Anolis sagrei: one gene and its partners. The protein of the gene in region 2 binds, or shares a complex with, the protein of the main gene of each other region. Links are inferred from orthologs where the notes say so. Each region holds a gene or a part of one and is shown on either strand. Other genes may lie near its edges.

The links.
Region 1: TIMM21 (region 2) and SMIM20 share a complex: the UniProt entries of both Homo sapiens proteins name them as parts of the MITRAC (mitochondrial translation regulation assembly intermediate of cytochrome c oxidase complex) complex. The link is inferred for Anolis sagrei from reciprocal best matches to the Homo sapiens genes TIMM21 and SMIM20.
Region 3: TIMM21 (region 2) and TIMM17B share a complex: the UniProt entries of both Homo sapiens proteins name them as parts of the TIM23 complex. The link is inferred for Anolis sagrei from reciprocal best matches to the Homo sapiens genes TIMM21 and TIMM17B.

What each region holds. Positions count from the first base shown.
Region 1 is NC_090025.1:112,997,734-113,006,373, reverse strand, and holds the start of SMIM20 (small integral membrane protein 20), read right to left. Parts: upstream 3,494-8,640; 5' UTR 3,412-3,493; coding exon 3,303-3,411; intron 1-3,302. Other genes in the region: SEL1L3 (protein sel-1 homolog 3), read left to right, coding at 7,303-7,488.
Region 2 is NC_090024.1:72,469,644-72,477,570, forward strand, and holds the start of TIMM21 (mitochondrial import inner membrane translocase subunit Tim21), read left to right. Parts: upstream 1-4,751; 5' UTR 4,752-4,961; coding exon 4,962-5,259; intron 5,260-7,045; coding exon 7,046-7,108; intron 7,109-7,219; coding exon 7,220-7,317; intron 7,318-7,927. UniProt on the Homo sapiens protein: Participates in the translocation of transit peptide-containing proteins across the mitochondrial inner membrane.
Region 3 is NC_090022.1:178,483,146-178,490,814, forward strand, and holds the start of TIMM17B (mitochondrial import inner membrane translocase subunit Tim17-B), read right to left. Parts: upstream 3,494-7,669; 5' UTR 3,412-3,493; coding exon 3,386-3,411; intron 1-3,385. UniProt on the Homo sapiens protein: Essential component of the TIM23 complex, a complex that mediates the translocation of transit peptide-containing proteins across the mitochondrial inner membrane.

The sequences.
Region 1 (8,640 bases), on a different chromosome or scaffold from region 2:
AGAGAGTGAAGCTAGGTCTAAAATTTCAGCTTGTAGGTTTTCTGACAATACGGTCAATGTCATTTTTTGACAGTTAATGCTGTCTCAATGCATGCTCTTTCTATGCTCATTATCTATTAAAAAAGGCTCTTTTTCAAAAACAAAAACCAAGTATTCTAAGTAGCCAGGAAGATATCAGGAAAAATCATGGGAATGAAAAATGTGAGATTGCTATGCTCAAACCTGACAATGCCAGTTTTTGCTAATGAATACAATTTGTGCTTGATAAAGTTAAGTAATAAAATAGAACAACTATCACATGGGCAGTAGTCATATTCGAGGCACAATTGATTTGAGTCATCTGCATCGAATTCAGGGTAATATAAGTGTCCAACTTCATGTACAGTATTTGGTGAGACTATGCGGGAATATCCTGTCAACTGACATTAATTTTCTTGCAGCTGATTATATTTTTTATTATTACTCATACAAAACATTGACTTATATATGAAAGTAATCGTTGTGTTTTGGACTTTTTTTTCAGATTTCTTGCTATATTCAAATGCTGAACAAAAATATATTTTGATATATTTTGTATAGCTTGCAATGTTAAAAGAACACTGAGGCTGAGTCTACACTACACTATATCCCAGGATCCGATTCCAGATTGTCTGCAATGAACTGGATTATATGAGTTTACAATACCAGATAATCTGGGATAAGAAAATAATCTGTGATCAGATCCTGGAATATAGAACAGTGTAAATCCAGCCTATGCCCCCCCCCCCCCCCCCAGACAGGCCCTATATTCCAGGAGCTGATCCCAGGTTTTCTGTTTATCCCACATTATCTGGCAGTGGGGACTCGTATAATCCAGTTTAAAGTAGAAAACCTGGGATCAGATCTTGGGGTATAGGCCTGTCTGGAAGGTCAGTAAGATGAGTGGCGTGTTTGGAATGGAAGTTATTTCACTTTTCTGTGTTCATGCACTCGCTAGTGAACTCCATGCTCTATATCAGAGAGTCTTCCCCCTCTCCACTGCCACCTGTTGACCACTGTGTACATTTTGATTTTAGTTTTTAAAATTTGTATGGCACAATATATATTGATATACTGTGTATGAGGCCTGCTAGAACCATAAGAAATGCAAAATACTCACTGGTAAGAACTCATTCTCAAATTGCCCGCCTGTGGGGTGTGTGCCTCATGTTGGGAACCAGGACACTAGGGGCCCTTCCACTCAGAATATCAAGGCAGAAAATGCCACAATATCTGCTTCGATCTGGATTATCTGAGGAATTGTGGGAATTGAAGTCCAAAACACCAGGAGGGGCCAAGTTTGCCCATGCCTGGGTTACACCCTTTCCCCTTTCACATGTTAACCATTCACAGATGGGCGACTTCCATCTTATTTTACAGTGGTCCGGTGGCACAGTGGGTTAAACCGCTGAGCTGCTGAACTTGCTGATCGAAAGGTCGCAGGTTCAAATTCAGGGAGCGGGGTGAGCTCCCACTATCAGCCCCAGCTTCTGCCAACCTAACAGTTCAAAAGCATGCAAATGTTAGTAGATCAATAGGTACCGCTCCGGTGGGAAGGTAACTGTGCTCCATGTGTGGGATTTCTGGGAGTTGGAAGTCCAAAACACCCGAAAGACCAAAGGTTGGGAACCACTGCTCTATATCTTCTGCAATGAAGATGGGTACCTTCAGTTCCAATGGGCCAACCACTTTCTATGTCATTTTCTTTTTTAAAAAATATTCTATACTAAAATAATTTTGATTATTAGTCCTAATGTTGTCATGATAATTCTCTTCAAAATCATAGGTGGCCGAGTTGGTAAGATATCCTTTATATGAAGGAAGGATTAGTATATGTAAGAACCCCAGTATTGTTCATTGACTGTCTTAAATTTGATGGTATCTTTTCAGATCGGCAGTACGCATTATAGCTGAGCTTCTATTATTATTGTTGTTGTTGTTGTTGTTATTATTATTATTTAAAACTTGTGTATCCCGATCTTCTCTACCTCCATAGAGGGACTCAGACTGGCTAATAGCAAGGATTGAATGCTAACAATACAATCTAAAACATTGTACAATAAATTAAAATACATATAGACTAAAATACATAAAAGACAGTTCGGCAAGATAAAATCACGTCCCACTCAGTCTGCATATGTGGTCGATAACTTTAATCAATTGCCAGTCTCCGCCATCATTCTGAGAATGCCTCGTTCCATAGCCAGGATTTCACTAGCCTCCTGAAGGTCAGGAGGGAGGGGACAGATCTGATCTCAATCAGGAGAGAGTTCCATAGCTAGGGGGCCACCACAGAAAAGGCCCTGTCTCTTGTCTCCAACAGACGCGATTGCGAGGGTGGTGGGACCGAGAGCAGGGCCCCTCCAGGACATCTTAACAGCCTTGATGGTTCTTGTCTTAGTTTTTAATTAGTTTTAATCAGTTTGTCTTTTAATCGTTACATGTAGCCCACCCATTGTCACTGTGCCTGTGTCTATTGTAATTTTTTATATTGTTATGTATCCACATATTTTATGTAATTATGATGTTACTGTTTATTGTTCGCATTTTCGGTTGTGTCTTGGGTTTTCTTTATTGTAATTGTTGTTCGGGCCTGGCCTCATGTAAGCCGCTCTGAGTCCCAATCGGGGAGATGGTGGCGGGGTATAAATAAAGTTTATTATTATTTATTATAGGGGAGGATATGTTGGGATAAGTAAACTGGGCTGGAACCGTATAGGGTTCTACTAATTCACATTTTACTACACCCAAACACTATATGGCTGACCGAAAGATCGCAGGTTCAAATCTGGGGAGTGGCATGACCTCCTGCTGTTAGCCCCAGCTTTTGCCAACCTAGCAGTTTGAAAACGTGTAAATGTGAGTAGATCAATAGGTATTGCTCCAACGGGAAGGTTATGGCACTCCATGCAGTCATGCCAGCCACATGACCTTGGGGGTGTCTACAGACAACGCCGGCTCTTCGAGATGAGCAGCAACCCCCAGAGTTGGACACGACTGGACTTCATGTCAGAGGAAAACCTTTACCTAATTCCCACAGGATGACATTGCTGATCACATGGGCATGCACATTGGCCCTTCCTTCCTTTGTGGGCCTGAAGCCTGGAAGCTGGGCTGGCTTAGTGTTTCCTAAGCCTTGACCTTCCTGATGTTTTGGACTGCAGCTCCCATCATCCAGGCTGGCTGAGGCTCCTGGGAGGGGGCGTCCAAAGCAGAGGGCTCTGGAGCATCCTAGGGGAGCTTTGCCTAAGGCAGGATCAGTTCAGGGGGAGGAGAGGACTTACTGTAGTCCTCCAGGTGCATCAGGGGCCGGAAGTAGATGGGGTACAGGGCCGCCCCCACCAGGCCCACGAAGCCCCCGAAGACCAGGAGGGTGCGAGGCAGGCGCGCCATCCACGCAAGAAGAAGCTTCTGCAAAGAGCCCGCACGACTCCACAGGAGCCTTCTTTCCGCTTCCGGGACAGGAAGAGTTTGGATGTAAGCACCTCCCTGCAACGCCCCCTCGTGGCCGCAAAGGGGAACAACCCATGCTTCACTGTCAGCTGAACAGATTCACTTCCTCATTTGGCCAACATCTTCTACGTCAGTGTTTCTCAGCCTGGGGGGTCGCCAAAGAGCATAAGAAAACACTGTATTTTCTGTTGGTCATGGGGGTTCTGTGTGGGAAGTTTGACCCAATTCTATCATCGGTGGAGTTCAGAATGTTCTGTGATTGTAGGTAAACTATAAATCCCAGCAACTACAACTCCCAAATGTCTATTTTCCCCAGACTCAACCAGTGTTCACATTTGGGCATATTGAGTATTCGTGCCAAGTTTGGTCCAGATCCATCATTGTTTGAGTCCACAGTGCTCTCTGGATGTAGGTGAACTACAATTCCCAAACTCAAGGTCAATGCCCACCAAACCCTTCAAGTATTTTCTGTTGATCGTGAGAGATCTGTGTGCCAAGTTTGGTTCAGTTCCATCATTGGTGGGGTTCAGAATGTTCTTTGATAGTAGGTGAATTATAAATCCTAGCAACTACAACTCCCAAATGTCTATTTTCGCCAGACTCCACCAGTGCTCACATTTGGGCATATTGAGTATTCGAGACGTTTGGTCCAAATCTATCATTGTTTCAGTCCACAGTTGTCCCTCGATGTAGGTGAACTACAACTCCCAAACTCAAGGTCAATGCCCACTAAACCCTTCAAGTATTTTCTGTTGATCATGAGAGATCTGTGTGCCAAGTTTGGTTCAGTTCCATCATTGGTGGGGTTCAGAATACTCTTTGATTGTAGGTGAACTATAAATCCCAGCAACGACAACTCCCGAATGTCTATTTTCCCCAAATTCCACCAGTGCTCACATTTGGGCATATTGAGTATTCATGCCAAGTTTGGTCCAGATCCATCATTGTTTGAGTCCACAGTGCTCTTTGGATGGAGGTGAACTACAAGTCCCAAACTCAAGGTCAATGCCCACCAAACCCTTCAAGTATTTTCTGTTGATCGTGAGAGATCTGTGTGCCAAGTTTGGTTCAATTCCATCATTGGTGGGGTTCAGAATGCTCTTTGATTGTAAGTTAACTATAAACGCCAGCAACTATAACTCCCAAATGACAAAATCAACCCCCCAGTAGTCAAATTTGGGAGCATTGGGTGTTTGTGCCAAATTTGGGCCAGTGAATAAAACTACATCCTGCATATCAGATATTTACATTACAATTCACAACGGTAGCAAAATTACAGTTATGAAGTAGCAACGAAAACAATGTTATGGTTGGGGTCACCACAACATCAGGAACTGTACTAAGGGGTCGCAGCATTAGGAAAGTTGAGAACCATTGTTCTACATTGTTGTTGTTCATTGCTGTTCCTCACTACTTTATATAATATTTTTTGAGAAAGAGCCATGTTGGATTAGGTTGAATGCTTATCATTGAATCATAGAATGATTGACTTGGAAGAAACCTCATGGGCCATCTAACCCCCTGCCAAGAAGCAGGAAAATCACATTCAAAGCACCCCTGACAGATGGCCATCCAGCCTCTGTTTAAAAGCCTCCAAAGAAGGAGCCTCCACAACACTCTGGGGCAGAGAGTTCCACTGCTGAACAGCTCTCACAGTCAGGAAGTTCTTCCTAATGTTTAGATGGAATCTCCTTTCCTGTAGCTTGAAGCCATTGTTTCATGCACTGGTTTGTAGTGAATTAATTTGATAGTGGATTTATTTCATGCCTTCTTGGAAGGCACGCAATAAATCCACTATTTCCAGGTCTGGACTGCAGAATACTGCAGTCCAGACAGTATTCCCACAGTTTACGGGGCTAGAACAGCCAACTGGGATCCAATTGCCAACCTGTCTTATTTTCTTTCTGGGGAAAATCTACACTCAGACCCCTTCTACACTGTAATATAAAATCCAGATTAACTCATTTGAACTGGATTATATGAGTCTTCACTACCATATAATCCAGTTCAAATTAGTTAATCTGGATTTTATATTACAGTGTAGAAGGGGCCTGAGTGTAGATTTTGAAATCCACAAGTATGTCAACAGAAAGGAGGAAACCAGGATAATGAACAAAATCTGGCTACAAGCCCTCTACAATCAGGACAGTAAATAAAGGGCAACACTAAAAAAAACCCAGTGGAATTCTAGACAGGGAGAAGTTGGGTCCAAGTAACATCTTCCAACAAAGGATCCTCCAGGTAGCAACCAGCCAGGCTTTGAAGCTACAAGGCCATTCAGTGTTAATCAAGCTGGCCAATTCAACATTCACACTTGCCTCAAGCAGACAATAGTACTTACTCCCATCCTGGGCATCGTTCTACAGATATATAAACTTCACCTGCCTAGTTTCCAACAGACCTCACAACCTCTGAGAATGCCTGCCATAGATGTGGGTGAAATGTCAGGAGAGAATGCTTCTGGAACATGGCCATACAGCCTGGAAAACTCACAGCAACCCAGTGATGCCAGCCAGGAGTTTTAAGATAGTGACTAGTATCTATTTGTGTGCTTTTGTTTTTGTCTTTTATTTTTGATATGGTCAGTGGACTACTCAATAAATAGATCTATCTATAGCAGTGTTTCTCAGCCTGGGGGTCGGGACCCCTGAAGGGGTTGCGAAGGGATGTCAGAGGGGTCGCCAAAGACCATCAGAAAACACAGTATTTTCTGGTGGTCATGGGGATTCCATGTGGGAAGTTTGAGCCAATTCTATCGTTGGTGGAGTTCAGAATGTTCTTTGATTGTAATGAACTATAAATCCCAGCAACTACAACTCCCAAAAGTCAAGGTCTATTTTCCTCAAGCTCCACCAGTGTTCACATTTGCGCATATTGACTATTTGTGCTAAGTTTGGTCCAGATCCACCATTGAGTGAGTCCACAGTGCTCTCTGGATATAGGTGAACTACAACTCCCAAACTCAAGGTCAACACCCACCAAACCCTTCCAGTGTTTTCTGTTGGTCGAGAGCGTTCTGTGTGTCAAGTTTGGTTCAATTCCACCATTGGTAGGGTTCAGAATGCTTCAAATCCATCACTGGTGGAGTTCAGAATGCTCTTTGATTATAGGTGAACTATAAATCCCAGCAACTACAACTCCCAAATTACAAAATCAATCCTCCCCCAACCCCAGTAGCATTTACATGTGGTTGCATTGGGTATTTGTGCCAAATTTGGTCCAGTGAATGAAAATACATCTTGCATATCAGATATTTGCATTATGATTTATAACAGTAGTAAAATGACTGTTATGAAGTAGCAACGAAAACAATTTTACGGTTGGGGGTCACCACAACATGAGGGACTGTATTAAGGGGTCACAGCATTAGGAAGGTTGAGAACCACTGATCTATAGAATCATGGGAGCTGTAGTTTTACTTAGTCTCTTCTCCCAAAGAGTTCTGGAGCCTCCCCAAACTGCAAAGCCATGCTTCCAGAGAGCCATGGCAATGAAAGCATGAATTCTGCCTGTCCTGGATAAGAGGCACCCAACTTTGTCCTTTCAGGGTGAAGAAATAGGCACAGCCAGGAGGGGATCAAAGGGAGGAAGAAGAGAGCTTAGGTGGTGAATTCTGGTTCAAAAAGAAACCATCAAGTCTGCAGGAAAGGTGTGTTTCAGGTGTAGGACTGGCTGAAGTCTTGGAAAGGCACCTTTCCAAGAATAAGCGCCAGAGGCGCAAGAAAAACAGATCCTGAGCCGGGGAGTGCTTTCGGGTGCCTGTGGCTGCACCTGCCTAGTCTGGGCGGCCCTTCCTGCTTCCTTCTCCTCCTCCTCCTCGTCCTGGGAGGCATGTCCAGGAAGCAGGATCTCCTTCCTCCTCCGTGGCCGGATTTCCAGGGAGGAGACGCGGTGGGCACCGCGATGGAGAGCTTTGCGCCCTCACCTGTGCCTTCCCCTGCGCGCTTTGGAAGCAGCCACAACCTGGGCTTCATCTCCCTCCCCAAACGTTGCCTGCTGCTGCTCTTGCTGCTGCTGGTGAGTCGCATCTGGGGTTGCCCCCCTTCATATTCACGGGGTGCCCACCCTACATGTGTTTGGCAGGATGGGGTCCGGGTGCCATTCCCTGGTTGCCACCAGAAGCAGCCAAACGGGCTCCCCAAGCACTTGGCTGAGCCCCAAAGCCCCTGAGCTCACATTCCTTCCACAAGCCTCATCCATTCTTTCACTATTATTTAGGGGCCCTTCCACACAGCCCTCTATCCCAGAATATCAAGGCAGAAAATCCCACATTATCTGAGTGTGGACAATTATTATTATTATTATTATTAATGATAACAACAACAATAATAATAGCAGAAACCCCAGGAGCTACCCAATCCAACTCCTTTCTGCCATGCAGGAAAAGCACAATCAAAGCACCCCAGACAGATGACCATCCAGACTTTTTAGTAGTAGTAGTAGTAGCAGCAGCAGCAGCAGCAGCAGCAGAAACCCCAGGGGCTACCCAATCCAACTCCTTTCTGTCATGCAGGAAAAGCACAATCAAAGCACCCCAGACAGATGACCATCCAGACTTTTTAGTAGTAGTAGTAGTAGTAGTAGTAGTAGTAATAGCAGAAACACCAGGAGCTACCCAATCCAACTCCTTTCTGCCATGCAAGAAAAGTACAATCAAAGCACCCCAGACAGATGACCATCCAGACTTTTTAGTAGTAGTAGTAGTAGTAGTAGTAATAGCAGAAACCCCGGGAGCTACCCAATCCAACTCCTTTCTGCCATGCAAGAAAAGCACAATCAAAGCACCCCAGACAGATGACCATCCAGACTTTTTAGTAGTAGTAGTAGTAGTAATAGCAGAAACCCCAGGAGCTACCCAATCCAACTCCTTTCTGCCATGCAAGAAAAGCACAATGAAAGCACCCCAGACAGATGACCACCCAGACTTTTTAATAGTAGTAGTAGCAGAAACCCCAGGGGCTATCCAATTCAACCCCCTTCTGCCGTGCAGGAAAAGCACAATCAAAGCACCCCAGACCTTTTAGTAGACTAGGACACAGAACGATGGCTTCAAACTACAAGAAAGGAGATTCCATCTGAACATCAGGAAGAACTTCCTGACTGTGAGAGCCATTCAGCAGTGAAACTCTCTGCCCCAGAGTGTGGTGGAGGCTTCTTCTTTGGAAGCTT
Region 2 (7,927 bases):
TGCAGGCTTGACTTTTGTGGATTTTATTATTCACAGGTTTGAGTAAGGCCATATAAAATCTAGATTATCTGCTTTGGACTGGATTATATGGCAGTGCAGACACACAATCCAAAGCATATAATGTGGATTATCTGCGTGGATAATCAGGACTGTAAGGTTTGCCTAAGTCCTCCAGTGTGATTCTATGGTCAACTTCTGCCAGAAATTGAATGTAGTGGATTATCTCCATCTCAACACTGACAAAGGGAGTGTGTCCCAGGTGGTGCTTCTAGACCTCTCAGCGGTCTTCGATACGATCAACCATGGTATCCCTTCTGGAACGCCTGGCGGGAATGGGAATCAGTGATACTGTGTTGCACTGGTTCTGGTCGTACCTCTCAGGCAGGTTCCGGATGATGGTGCTTGGGGATAGCTGCTCCCCAAAAAAGGACAATTGAAACCACCCAATGAACATGGGTAAATCTGAAGTCACATACTCTCAGCATCAAAAGAAGGCAAAAGCAAATTCCCTCTGAACAAATCTGGATAATACAACCGCATGATACATTCACCTAGGGGTTATAGTGAGTCAGAAATGACATGACAGCACACCACAACATGTTGAGTGGCCATCTCAAGCAGCAATCTGGTGTTGCAAAAAGGTAGTGAGTGAATTACGAAGATTTTTAATTTGTTGTTTTATATTTTTACTGCCAGGGATGATTAAAAAAGTACGTGAAGATTTTTTTATTGCATGAGCCAGAATAACCTGGCATCATTTATCACTTTGCCTCTAGCAGCAACATGTGTTTGACCAGCCCTGATGGGCAAAAAAGCACATAAGATAGATGTTAAACATTCTGGATCACACTTCATGGGAGATATGTGGTACACATTTTAAATATATATCTGTACTTAACATTTATTAAGCAAATTGACTTCTAGTGTTAGGACCTTATAAATTTAATGATAGCTGCTAGGGTTGTCAGTGCTAAATGTTTCAAAGACTACGTGTTTATACATAATTAAATTTGCTTAAGGGTAATTCCAGCTGCATCCTCAGATGCACGATGCGACATTCAAACTTCAAATATATATGTAGTTACATAGTTGTGGGAGTGGGATATAAGTGCAATGGGATACAACAACTGTATTAGGAACATAAATCATAAACCTTCCAAGGGCTTTAAACTGGTTTAGCACAAATATCTCAGCATCTGTTATTAGTGCACAATATGGTTGGCAAGTAACTAGCGTCAAAGCATTTTCTTTCCAGAAGTTTTTTTTTTTTGCTTAATGCATAATCTTATTTTAAAGAACAGGCTATACACACAGCCATAGTCAAAATTAACTATAAATGTAATGTAAGAAACAATCTTCAGACCTTTTGTATATAAAATGAGATTTGTTAAAGTCTCCCAATTTTTTTCAGATCTTCCCTCCAGATTCATTTGCTACACAATAATATCAAAATCTCTGACAAAACTGCAAAGTGTTCTAAAGTTGGTTTTTGTATGTATGTATGTATGTATGTATGTATGAATTGTATGTATGTATTTAGAATATATATATTCCACCTTTCTCACCCCAAAGGGGACTCAGAGTGGATCACAGAATATATGTAAGGCAAACATTCAATGCAGTTTATACAATGTCAAGACAGACAACTGTACATTTGTTGCTGTCCGTTCAGTCACTTCCAACTCTTTCTGAGCTCATGGACCAGCCCAAGTCAGAGCTCCCTGTCAGCTGTTGCCATCCCCAGCTCCTTCAAGGACAAACCAGTCACTTCAAGGATACCATCTTGCCCTTGGTCTGCCCCTCTTCATTTTTTCCTTCCATTTTCCCCAGCATCATTATTTTCTCCAAGCTTTCCTGTCTTCTCATTATGTGGCCAACGTACTTCATCTTTACCTTTAATATCCTTCCCTCCAGTGAGCACTCAGGTATTATTTCCTGGGGTATGGACTGGTTTGATCTTCTTGTGGTCCAAGGCACTCTCAGAATTTTCCTGCAACAACACAGTTCAAAAACAACTGCACATAGATAGAGGTATATATAGAATTTCCCATCTTTGGCATCTCGAAGGTTGTGCTCAGTTCTGGCCACGAGGGGTGCTGTCGCTCCATCATCCCTACTGAAAAGCTTTTGTTCATAAACTTCCTCCTTGATTGAATTGCCAGGATTTTTCTAGCATTTACTTACATATACCTAAATACCTCCATGCTTTTAAAGCAGCATCTATTTATCTACTCTCAATTGCTGCTTACAATCTGCTAGGTTGGTAGGAGCTGGGCTGAAGGCCAGGAGCTCACCCTGAACCAGGCATTGAACTGCCAACCTTCTGAATAGCCAGATTTACTGCAGCTGGTGGTAAAGTTGCTGGGCTAATATGTTTAGGATGGAGAAGAGAAGCCCAAAGATGCATCAACACTGTAGAAATAATGCAGTTTGACACTATACATTAACTGCAATGGCTTAGTGCTATGAAACGCTGGAACCTGTACTTTAGTGAACTATTAATACTCTGGAAGAGAAGTCTAGAGACCTTATAAAACTAAAGTTCCTGAGTCCATGGCACTGAACCACGGCAATTAAAGTGGTATCAGACTGAATTATTCTACAGCATGGAAGTGACCAATCTTTAATATCTTACAGTTGGGATTTTATTATTTTAGATGCACTATGATTCTATGATGTTAGGTATTTATTTATTTATTGTGTCATCATGATGTTAGGTGTGTCAAGATGATTTTCTTCAATAGGATGTGTCTTACTTTCCCTACATGTGATGAAGTATTTGTATTTCCTGTTCCTACTCCCACAATATGCCACTGCGTGTATGTCTGGATATTGTACCACCTCTTGAAGAAACAGACTGCAGCCCACAAAAGTACACCATAAAATAAACCAAATAATCTTATGAGTGTCACAAGTTCTCTCTTTCTCTCTGTGATTATGGGTTGGGTATCTTTTATTTGCTATTCCAAAATATGAAACATTCCTGATTCTGAAAACATCCACATAGTATCAACTTTGCTTTCTAGTGGTTCAATGTATAAAAACTTTGTTTCATGCAGTTATTAAAAATATTGTGTATAATGTTTCCGGCTATATGTATATGGTATATATGAAACTATACATTATGTATTTAGACTTGGATCCTATCTCCATGATATCTCATTATGTGTGTACATATAAATACAGATGTTCGCAATTCAGGGGGGGGGGGGGGGGATATGAAAGCTCCAACATTTGTGAGTCCCTTCAGGGAGAGAGGGCAGGTTAAAAATAAACTATTATTATTATTATTATTATTATTATTATTGCCCTAAACATTCCAAATAAATAATATTTAACCTGTATTGTGACAAACTAATAGCTCTTTGAAAATACAGCAATGTCTGTTGGCCTTTGTTCCCTTTTCTTGTTATTGCCTTAATAATAATAATAATAATAATTTATTTATACCCCGCCACCATCTCCCCAAGGGGACTCGAGGCAGCTTACATGAGGCCACGCCCAACAATACAGTAAAACAATATAACACAAGAACACAACAACAACAAAAAGAAAAGAAAATTGCATAAGATACAAAACCAATATAAATAAACAGAATAGCAATATAAAATCCGAGCATTAAAACACAGAATATTGATCACGGTGGGCATCGCCTTGTTATTGCTGGACTCCTTGTGTGAAGTACACCAATGCTGTAAACATCCAATGTACAATTGCCACATGCTAGTGAAATGTTCAATAAGTAATCTATATAAATAAAAATGTAATGTTCGTTGGTGGGACTAACATAACTCAAAAACCACTGGGCAAATTGACACCAAACTTGGACACAATACACCTATCAGGCCAATGAGTAACCATTACTCATAAAAACAATGAAAACTAGACTTTAAAAGCCAAAAAATACACTACAATGCATGCACATAACCACATTGTTCCCCTGACATTAAGTCCAGTTGTGTCCGACTCGGGGGGGGGGGGGGTGGTGGTGCTCATCTCTATTTCTAAGCCCAAGAGCTGGCATTGTCCATAGACGATGTGGCTGGCATGACTAAATGGAGCACCATTACCTTCCTGCCGGAGAGGTACCTATTGATCTACTCACATTTGCATGTTTTCGAATTGCTATGTTGGCAGAAGCTGGGGCTAACAGCGGGAGCTCATGCCGCTCCCTGGATTTGAACCTCCGACCTTTCGGTTACCAAGTTTAACAGCTCAGCAGTTTTACCCACTGCACCACTGGGAGATTCAGCGTAACCACATGTGTATTTATGCATAACCACATAAATACACATATACACAAATATATACACACACAAAACACATATACACAGACTGGGCCACAGCAACGCGTGGCAAGGGACGGCTAGTAAAGATATAAAATGGCAAAAGCGGGGGGGGGGGCAGAGATGTCTGTCTATTCAGCGGGCAGGCTATAATAAAAGTCTAAATAAATTTTACAAAGCCTAAAGTGCAAGTAATGATCTCATATAAGCAGCACAGCATGAGAACCTTCCTTTTTCCTCAGTATTAAACACAAGAGTTATGTTGTGTATATCCTTAGGCTTAAAAAGAAGTGTTTTTTTCCTGCAGAAGGCGCACTCTCTGCTTAGACTTCCTTCCTGGAGGAAAGGATTAGCCAGGGAGAGACTGAAAGAAAAATCCTTGCAATGCTTTTGAAGAGCCGATGGCCCTTTGCATCATGGTAGTTGTAGTTCCCTTTAAGAGGCTACCCAATCAACAAATCGGTGTGTCCAGCAAACTACATGTCCCAGAAACGCTTGCAAAGAAACACAATGGCGGGGTAGATTGCAAAAGCTGCTTTTACTTTTGATCAAAGTGCAGCAGGAAATATAACCCCTCTTTCTCTCGTTAAGTCCGGGACAATGTTTTCAATCTTTGGCATCGGAGGGGAGAGGAGTTTGGGTGTCATCTAAGGGTAATATTTATTCAAGGCAGCCATGCCCCCCTTCGCAGTCTTTTCCTCCTTTCTGCGGGGAATGCACTGCAATGACAAGGTGCTGGGGAAGTGGTTGCACTTGCAGCATAGGAAAGCGCGTGAAAGGACTTTGGGGTGCTTCAGGCTCGGGGCAAGCCCAGGGGAGTATATTTTGCACCCTAGAGTAGCCTCTGGGGGGCTACCACGAAAGGTGTGGACGCCAGCAGGGGCCTTGAGGGCTGGGAAAGGCCAAAACAGCTCCCAGGTCCCTGTGCAAAGAAGCCAGAAAGGAGGGACCTCTCTCTCAGCTGCTCAGAAAGGTAAGAGATGCCTATGGCTGTCAACCAAAGTTAGGCAATGAAGGCTGAAATGCTTCTGTCCTCTTACCTGGAAATAAACCTGAGTATTGCTTTCAGTTGATATGAATGGGGTGCATCGTGCCATAACTTTGGTGCATCCCCTTCCAAGGAGTGCATCTGCACTGCAGAATTAATGCACTTTAGTGCCACTTTAACTGCCAGGGCTCAATGCTATGGAATCTAGGGAGTTGCAGTATGGTGACACACCATGCTTTGGCAGAAAAGGCTAGGGCCTTATCAAACTTTTGTTGTTCATTCAGTCGTTTCCGACTCTTCGTGACCTCATGGACCAACCCACGCCAGAGCTCCCTGTCGGCCGTTACCACCCCCAGCTCCTTCAAGGTCAAGCCAGTCACTTCAAGGATCCCACCCATACATCTTGCCCTTGTTCAGCCCCTCTTCCTTTTTCCTTCCATATTCCCCAGCATAATTGAATTCTCTAAGCTTTCCTTTCTTCTCATGATGTGGCCAAAATACTTCATCTTTACCTCTACTATCAAACTTATCTACTTATCAAACTACGAGTCCCCAAATTCCATAGATTAAGCCATGGTACTTAATGTGGTGCCAAACCGCATTAATTCTATAGTACAGGTGCACCTTTGCTGTCAATTGAGCTGTGGTATCCTGCAAGATGTAGTTTTGCAAGGACTTTTGCCTTCTCTCCCCCAAGCATGCTGGATCCTCATCAAACTACAATTATTATACCATTGTATCGAGCCACAGCAATTAAAGTGGTACCAAAACGGCATTAATTCCACAGTGGAAGGAGGTGAATTTACAGATATGCTGTCCAAAGTTATGGTCTGAATGCCTGTCAGCCAAAATAGGTTTTTAATGTGGTACACAAAGAAAGCATATAAAGTATGACCTCCATACAACTGACATCAAAAAGCCGCACAACTGCACTTTGTACAGTTTAAAACTACTTGACAGAGTGCAAAAATATTCTGACACTTAGAGTCCTTCCACACAGTCATATAACACAGAATATCAAGGCAGATAATCCACAATATCTGCCTTGAACTGGATTAGCTGAGTCCACACTACCATATAATCCAGTTCAATGTGGATTTTATACAGCTGTGTGGAAGGGGCCTTAGTCTGTCTTTACACACTATAGAATTAATGCACTTCACTGTAGCATTAATGCAGTTTGAGCCCACTTTAAGTGCCATAGCTCAATGGGAAGTTATAGTTTGATGAGGCATTAACACTCTTGGACAGAGAAGGTGAAAGATCTAGTTGCCATGATTCCATAGCATTAAGCCATGACAGTTAAAGTGATGCCATTCTGCATTGATTCGACAGTGTAGATGTACCCTTAGGGACCATCCAGACACGCTCTATATCCCAGGATCTGATCCCAGGTTTTCTGTTTATCCCAGATTATTTGGCAGTGTGGACTCATATAATCCAGTTTAAAAGAGAAATCCTGGGATCAAATCTTGGTATATAGTGCCTGTATGGAAGGGCCCCAGATTATATGAGTCCCAACTGCTAGATAATCTGGGATAAACAGAAAACCTTGGATCAGATACTGGGGTATATTACCTATCTGGAAGGGCCTCAGATGAGAAGGAATAGGCCAACTTCACACTTTTTGAGGTTGCTGAGACATGTAAAGTAATTTCCATTGTTTTTGAAACAAAAGCTGCTACTTTCATATCTTTACCAAATTAGAGGAAACCACTAGGAGCATGCTGTGTTACCTGATATTGTATAACTTTTCTTTTTTTTCTTCTAGTGAAAGAAGCTGGAAGAGATTTCACCTACTTGATAGTGGTGGTAGTCGGGATTGGTGTCACAGGTTGTTGAAACTGGATGAAAACATTTTCCCAACTTACAAATGTTTTAAGTTTTGGCCATTTAAGTACACAAATTCTTGTGTCATTTACATTTTATTTCCCCTCTGTTTCAGGTGGTTTATTCTATGTGATTTTTAAAGAGTTGTTCTCTTCTTCCAGTCCTAGTAAAATCTATGGAGATGCCTTGGAGAAATGCAGAGCTCACCCTGAGGTTGGTTTGCCTGTTTTTATGAAGGAGTGTTTCTCTCTGAAAGAGTGCCCCTTTATGTGAAAGGAAGCTTTGCCTTCTAGAACTCTTTAAATGTGGGAATGAGTGGCTAAAGGTCTGTTTTTTGTTCTGCCAAAACAGGAGAACTAAATCTGGATTTTCTTAGCAATTTTTAAAATGTTATCACTACTGGAACCTGTCCTAGTAGTTAGGGAAAGTAGTTGCTTTGCAAAACAGCTACTAAAAGGAGACATATAGAAGGATCAATTTATACTATCTGAAACTGGAATTTTACATTTCACAGTATATTCCCTTTGCTAGGTAAAGCTACTTAATTAAGCTTTTATTTACTTAAAAAAACATAATCTATGCTATATAATTCATCAGACCTTATTTTCCATTGATAAAGGAGTCTGAATTTCACATAAGGTGCTGGAATTTATATTTTTGGAAAATGGAGAATCAGGTTCCTGCTTTTTTTCCCCTCCCTCCCTAGCCCCTCCTACACTACCATATAAAATCCAGATTATCTGCTTTAAACAGGATTATATGGCAGTGTAGACTCAGGGGCCTTCTACACTGCCATATAATCCATATTATCAAAGCAGATAAT
Region 3 (7,669 bases), on a different chromosome or scaffold from region 2:
TTGACAAGCTGGGAGGTGTCCAAAGAAGGGGGGGCTAAAATGATCAAAGGTCTGGAGACCAGGAATCCCTATGAGGAACGTCTTAAAGAACTGGGTCTGTTTAGCCTGCAGAAGAGAAGGTTGAGAAGAAACATGATTGCCATGTATAAATATGTGAAAGGGTGTCATAAGGAAGAGGGAACAGGCTTGCTTTCTGATGCCTTTGAAACTCTTCAAATTCTACCTAAACATTAGGAAGAATTAGGTGCTTTGAATGCAATTTTCCTGCTTCTGGATGGCCTATGTGGTCTCTTCCAATTCTATGATTCTATAAGAACTTCCTGACTGTAAGACACTGGTTCTCAACCTGTGGGTCCCCAGGTGTTTTGACCTATAATTCCCAGAAATACCAGCCAGTTTACCAGCTGTTGGGATTTCTGGGAGTTGGAGGCCAAAACATCTGGGGGGACACAGGTTGAGAACCACTGCTGTATGAGCTGTTTAGCAGTGGTACTCTCTGCCTTGGAGTGTGGTGGAAGCTCCTTCCTTGGAAACTTTTAAACAGAGGCTGGATGACCATCTGTCAGGGGTACTTTGATGCTGCTTTTCCAGCGTGGCAGGGGATTGGCCTAGAATACTAGATGGTCAATGTGGTCTCTTCCAACTCTATTATTCTATGATTCTAAGAGTTCCCCTGGTGGCGCAGGGGGTTAAACTGCTGAACTTGCTGACCAAAAGGTTGCTGGTTCAAATCCAGGGAGCGGGGTGAGCTCCCACTGTTAGGCTCAGCTTCTGCCAACCTAGTAGTTTGAAAACATGCAAATGTGAGTAGCTCAATAGGTACCACTCCGAGGGGAAGATAAGGGCGCTCCGTGCAGTCATGCCGGCCACATGACCTTGGAAGTGTCTATGGACGACGCCGGCTCTTCGGCTTAGAAATGGAGATGAGCACCACCACACACAGTTGGACTCAACTGAACTTAATGTGTGAGTCTACACTGCCAGATAATCTGGGATCAGATCCTAGGACATAGGGCTGTTTAGATCCAGCCTGAGTCTACGTCCTCAAATCTTATGAACTTTATTCTTGTTCAGTCTCTAAGGTGCTACAAGATTCCTATTGCAAGTACTAATTAAGTATAATATATATTTCATCAAATTTTGAGTGGATTTTCAAGCATCAGTTTCTTTACAAAGTAAGGAATCGGGTAGTTTTGTATAAACAAAGTTTTAGCTTCTGTGACGGCTAGGTTCAACAGTTACTACCTACCAGAATTTTCGATTTGCAGACTGCTCAGAATATATTCTTGACCTAGATCATTAGTTATATAGTTATGTATTTGTATACAATTCTCTATTTTGGTGCTCACTGTACATTTTATAATATGCTGTCGAAGGCTTTCATGGCTGGAATCACTGGATTGCTGTGAGTTTTCGGGTCTGTGTGGCTATGTTCCGGAGGCATTCTCTCCTGACATTTCACCCACATCTATGGCTAGCATCCTCACAGGTGAGGAGCCCCCAGTGGCGCAGTGGGTTAAACCCCTGTGCCGGCAGGACTGAAGACCGACAGGTCGCAGGTTCGAATCCGGGGAGAGGCGGATGATCTCCCTCTATCAGCTCCAGCTCCTCATGCAGGGAGATGAGAGAAGCCTCCCACAAGGATGATAAAAACATTCAATCATCCAGGCGTCCCCTGGGCAACGTCCTTGCAGACGGCCAATTCTCTCACACCAGAAGCGAGCTGGGTTTAGAAAAGCCAGAGGAACGAGAGACCAGATTGCCAATATCCACTGGATAATGGAGAAAGGCAGGGAGTTTCAGAAAAACATCTATTTCTGCTTCATTGACTATTCTAAAGCCTTTGACTGTATGGATCATAATAAATTGTGGCAAGTTCCTGGTGGGATGGGCATCCCAAGCCACCTTGTCTCTCTCCTGAGGAATCTGTACAAGGACCAAGTAGCAACAGTAAGAACTGACCACGGAACAACAGACTGGTTCAAGATTGGGAAAGGCGTACGGCAAGGCTGCATACTCTCACCCAACCTTTTTAACTTGTATGCAGAACACATCATGCGATGCGCGGGGCTTGAGGAATGCAAAGCTGGGGTGAAAATTGCTGGAAGAAACATTAACAACCTCAGATATGCAGATGACACCACTCTGATGGCCGAAAGCGAGGAGGAGCTGAGGAGCCTTCTAATCAAGGTGAAAGAAGAAAGCGCAAAAGCTGGGTTGCAGCTAAACATCAAAAAAACCAAGATTATGGCAAAAAGAATGATTGACAACTGGAAAATATAGGGAGAAAATGTGGAGGCCGTGACAAACTTTGTATTTCTAGGCGCAAAGATTACTGCAGATGCAGACTGTGGCCAGGAAATCAGAAGACGCTTACTTCTTGGGAGGAGAGCAATGTCCAGTCTCGATAAAATCGTAAAGAGTAGAGACATCACACTGGCAACAAAGATCCGCCTAGTCAAAGCCATGGTATTCCCTGTAGTAACCTATGGATGTGAGAGCTGGACCATAGGGAAGGCTGAGCAAAGGAAGATAGATGCTTTTGAACTGTGGTATTGGAGGAATGTCCTGAGAGTGCCTTGGACTGCGAGAAGACCCAACCAGTCCATCCTCCAGGAAATAAAGCCCGACTGCTCATTGGAGGGAAGGATACTAGAGACAAAGTTGAAGTACTTTGGCCACATCATGAGGAGACAGCAAAGCCTAGAGAAGACAATTATGCTGGGGAAAGTGGAAGGCAAAAGGAAGAGGGGCCGGCCAAGGGCAAGATGGATGGATGGCATCCTTGAAGTGACTGGACTGACCTTGAAGGAGCTGGGGGTGGTGACAGCCGACAGGGAGCTCTGGCGTGGGCTGGTCCATGAGGTCACGAAGAGTCGGAGATGACTGAACGAATGAACAACAACAAGAAGCGAGTCGCTCCTGACACGACAAAAAAAAATGTCTGGGAAAACCTTTACTTTTAGATTTCTTTACTTTTCAGTTTCTAGTGAAGCATAGTGAATAGTAAGGGATTGTGGGAGTTGTAGGGCAGCTTCCAACTCTATGATTCTACAGTGGAAATGTATCCTGAAACTCTCCTATAAGATGACTCGCCAGGAAAGTCAATAACGCTTAGTGAGGTAGAAAGAAAAAGAAGAAAGCAACTACAGGTGGGTCGGCTCAATCCTCTTTTGTGAGGTTTGTTTCCTTTCGTATTGGTAGAGAAAGATGTCTCCCTCTCAAGGGCAGCCAAAAAAGGCCTCTGATTCAGTTCCCTCCCCGAGAAAGTCAGAAGGCCCTTGTCCAGGGCGAGCAACCCAGCCCAACTCCTTTTCATGGTAATGATAAAGCAAGAAAGGCCTCCTCCTCCTCCCCCTCCAAACCCCAGCCCAAGTCCAGTTACCAGGGTTCCCGGGCATATTCCTCCATCGCTCCCAGGCGAAAGTAGCGCCGGTCACGTGAAAGGAGGAACTAGAAAGACCCGGATCACCCAACCGCCTCCGATTGGCTGCCGGTCAGCGCGTGAGGCGGGGACAAACTTCTCCGCGTGGAAGCGCCGCCAACAGGTTGGTCGTCACCATAGAGATAGGAATACAAGACTACAGTACAGTTAGGTCAAGACTGTGCCTACCACTTTAAATCCTGCTGTCTCCTCCTTCAGCATTCTGGGGTTTGTAGTTTAGGAAGGCCCAGGATTTCTCCAGTTGAGGATGTCAAAGTCTCCTCCCCAACTACAAATCTCAGAATTCTGGATTAGTATTGTCGAAGGCTTTCATGGCCAGAATCACTGGGTTGTTGTAGGTTTTTTCGGGCTTTGTCCCACCCTGGTCATTCCACAGATATATAAACCCACTTTCCTAGTTCCAACAGACCACATTACCTCTGAGGATGCTTGCCATAGATGCAGGAGAAAATGCCTCCAGAACAGTGGTTCTCAACCTGGGGTCCCCAGATGTTTTGGGCCTACAACTCCCAGAAATCCCAGCCAGTTTGCCAGCTATTAGGAATTCTGGGAGTTGTAGGCCAAAAACATCTGGGGACCCCAGGTTGAGAACCACTGCTCTAGAACATGGCCATATAGCCCGAAAAAAATCTACAACAACCCATTCTGCATTAGGTGTAAAGTGGTACACACACCCTCTACCAAAGTGTTATGTGAGGAGTGTGACAACAGAAAAGGATGGTAAATTGCATTGGAAATTCCGGGTTCTGTTTTTGTAGGGCAAATGTGGAATCTCTTGTTGTTGTTCATTCGTTCAGTCACTTCCGACTCTTCGTGACCTCATGGACCAGCCCACACCAGAGCTCCCTGTCGGCCGTCACCACCCCCAGCTCCTTCAAAGTCAATCCAGTCACTTCAAGGATGCCATCCATCCATCTTGCCTTTGGTCGGCCCCTCTTCCTTTTTCCTTCTCCAAGCTTTCCTGTCTCCTCATGATGTGGCCAAAATACTTCATCTTTGCCTCTACTATCCTTCCCTCAAAATGAGCAGTCGGGCTTTCTTTCCTGAAGTATGGACTGGTTGGATCTTCTCGCAGTCCAAGGCACTCTCAGAACTTTCCTCCAACAACACAGTTCAAAAGCATCGATCTTCCTTCGCTCAGCCTTCCCTATGGTCCAGCTCTCACATCCGTAGGTGACTACGGGGAATATAATTGCTTTAACTATTCGGATCTTTGTTGCCAGTGTGATGTCTCTACTCTTCACTATTTTATCGAGATTGGTCATTGCTCTCCTCCCAAGAAGTAAGTGTCTCTTGATTTCCTGGCCACAGTCTGCATCTGCAGTGATCTTTGCATCTAGAAATACAAAATCTGTCACTGCCTCCACGTTTCCTCCTTCTATTTGCCAGTTATCAGCCTGAATCTTGGTGTTTTTTTTTAATGTTTAACTGCAACCCAGTTTTTGCGCTTTCTTCTTTCACCTTGATTAGAAGGCTCCTCAGCTCTTCCTCGCTTTCAGTCATCAAAGTGGTGTCATCTGCATATCTAAGGTTGTTAATGTTTCTTCCAGCAATTTTCACCCCAGCCTTGCAGTCCTCAAGCCCCGCACATCGCATGATGTGTTCTGCATACAAGTTGAATAGGTTGGGGGAGAGTATTCAACCCTGCCATACACCTTTCCCAATCTTGAACCAGTCTGTTGTGCCATGGTCAGTTCTGACTGTTACTACTTGGTCCTCATACAGATTCCTCAGGAGAGAGACAAGGCGATTTGGTATGCCCATCCCACCAAGAACTTGCCACAATTTATTATGATCCACACAGCCAAAGGCTTTAGAATAGCCAATAAAGCAGAAATAGATGTTTTTCTGAAACTCCCTGCCTTTCTCCATTATCCAGCGGATACTGGCAATCTAGTCTCTCGTTCCTCTGCCTTTCCTAAACCCAGCTTGTACATCTGGCCACTCTCGCTCCATGTATTGCTAGAGTCCTCCTTGCAGGATCTTGAGCATTATCTTACTGGCATGGGAAATAAGGGCCACTGTACGGAAGTTTGAGCAATCTTTCGCATTTCCCTTTTTTGGTATGGGGATATAGGTTGATTTTTTCCAGTCTGATGGCCATTCTTGTGTTTTCCATATTTGCTGACAATTTCCTTATATCTCTAGAGAAATAATCCAACCAACCAATGAGGCCTGTCGTTTCTGTTTGAGGGCATCTCGTTAAGAAAAGAAGATTGTCTTTGATAGGCTAAGAGGGACTTAAGGGGCGGGTTGACGTGAAAGGCTTTCCCTCGCATTGGTGCATTGCCCGTTTACCTGACGATCAATAATATAAGGAGGGAAAAAATAGATGCCGAATTCCGATAGGCTGCGGTGGTGTCACGTGCAGAGGGGGAAAGGAAGCTTAAGCTCTTACGGACGGCGGCTTTGTCGGGTCAAAAAGCTTTTAATATTGGAAACGGTTGTGTTGAGTGGACTTGTGTTTGATTGGCTCCGACGAAAAGACTGAAAGCAGGGAATCAGGTATGAGCTTCTTCAAACAGAATGTTTGTGTTGTTTTTACCTTTGTATTTATGAAGAGGGGGCACCCAATGATGCTCAGCTAAAGCTTTGAAGAATAGAGTGCATCTACACTGCAGAATTAATGCAGTTTGACACCAGCTTGCTATGGAATCCTGGGATTTAAATTTTTTATAATCTGCTTCGCCTTCTCTGCCAAAAGACCAAACTGCAGCTCCAAGATTCCATAACATTGAGCCATAGCAGTTTAAAGTGGTGTCAAACTGGATTAAATCTACAGTGTAGATGCACCCACATTCAGACATTACTGTACTGAGGAACCAGTGGAGTTCTCCTTCTCTGTAATCCAAATTATCCAAAATGTGTCACATGGGTTTGCTGATGCTCCAAGGTACATTGTTTCAGGCACAACATTGTTAAAATACTGTATAGATTTACCTCCAGTCAAGGGCAGCTTCAATAAGCAGAAGGGATGTATTTTGAAGAGGAACAATCTGCCGTATAATCCAGATTATCAACGCAGATGATAATTCATATTATCTCCTTTGAACTGGATTATATTTGTATTTACTGTTATTGAGGTATTGAATGTTTGTTTTTTTATTTGTTGGAATTTGCCCTAAGTCTCCCAGGAGAGAGAGGGTGGAATATAATTCAAGTTTTTTATTATTATTATTAGTAGCCATCCCCTGTGGCCCAGTCTGTATGTATTTTGTGTATGTATATGTGTGGTTGCATATGTGTGTGTGTGTGTGTGTGTGTGTGTATGTGTGTGTGTGTGTATGTGTGTGCATATATATATATATATATATATATATATATATATGGGTTTGCGCATGCATTGTAATGTAATTTTTATTTTTTGGCTTTTTAAATCCCTTCTGCTGTGTTTTTCAGTATTTTTATGAGTGATGGTCACTTGTTGGCCTGATAGGTTTATTGTGTCCAAATTTGGTGTCAATTCGTCCAGTGGTTTTTGAGTTATGTTAATCCCACAAACAAACATTATATTTTTATTTATATAGATGATGATGATTATTTTTATTATTATTATGATGCTGCCATATAATCCAATTCACAGCAGATAATCTGGATTTTATATGGCAGTGTAGAAGGGGCCTGGGTTTTAGGTTATAGTTTGATAGTAAATCTGCTGGAGAAGAGGAATGAGTTTAATGGTTCAACTGAAAACGAGTGAGTCAGTCCAGTTAAACCCAGTTGCAATGGATTGCTCCTCCTACTATCCCAGAATGAACTTTCACAGTACTGACAGTTTCCAAGTTACAAATAAGGTAGGTTCTGTAGGTTTGTTCTTAGGTTGAATTTATTTGTAAGTTGGAACAGGTACATTTTTTCATTGTAACTCCAGCCATCCAAATATGTGTGTATAAGGGGGGGGGAGCGCTTTTGACAGCACAGGGAAGGGTTAACACTCCTGTGGTGTTTGTTTTGCTGTCTGTGCCCCAGTTCAGAAGATTTTGTTGCACTTTTTGTCCTTGTGATGATAGGATTTGGAAAAAAATGGCTTGTTGTGGAAACAAGGATTGGTGGGAAAGCTTCAATGGAGATCTCTTTTCCTCAGGATAACTCTTCCAGGGGTGAATTTCCCTTCTGAGGGGTAGATTTCTCTCTTTCTATTGTCATACCTCCATTCTTAACTTTAAGTCGTTTCTAAATCAGGAGCTACCTGTAAATCTAATTTCTCAGTCTCTTTTTAGTTTA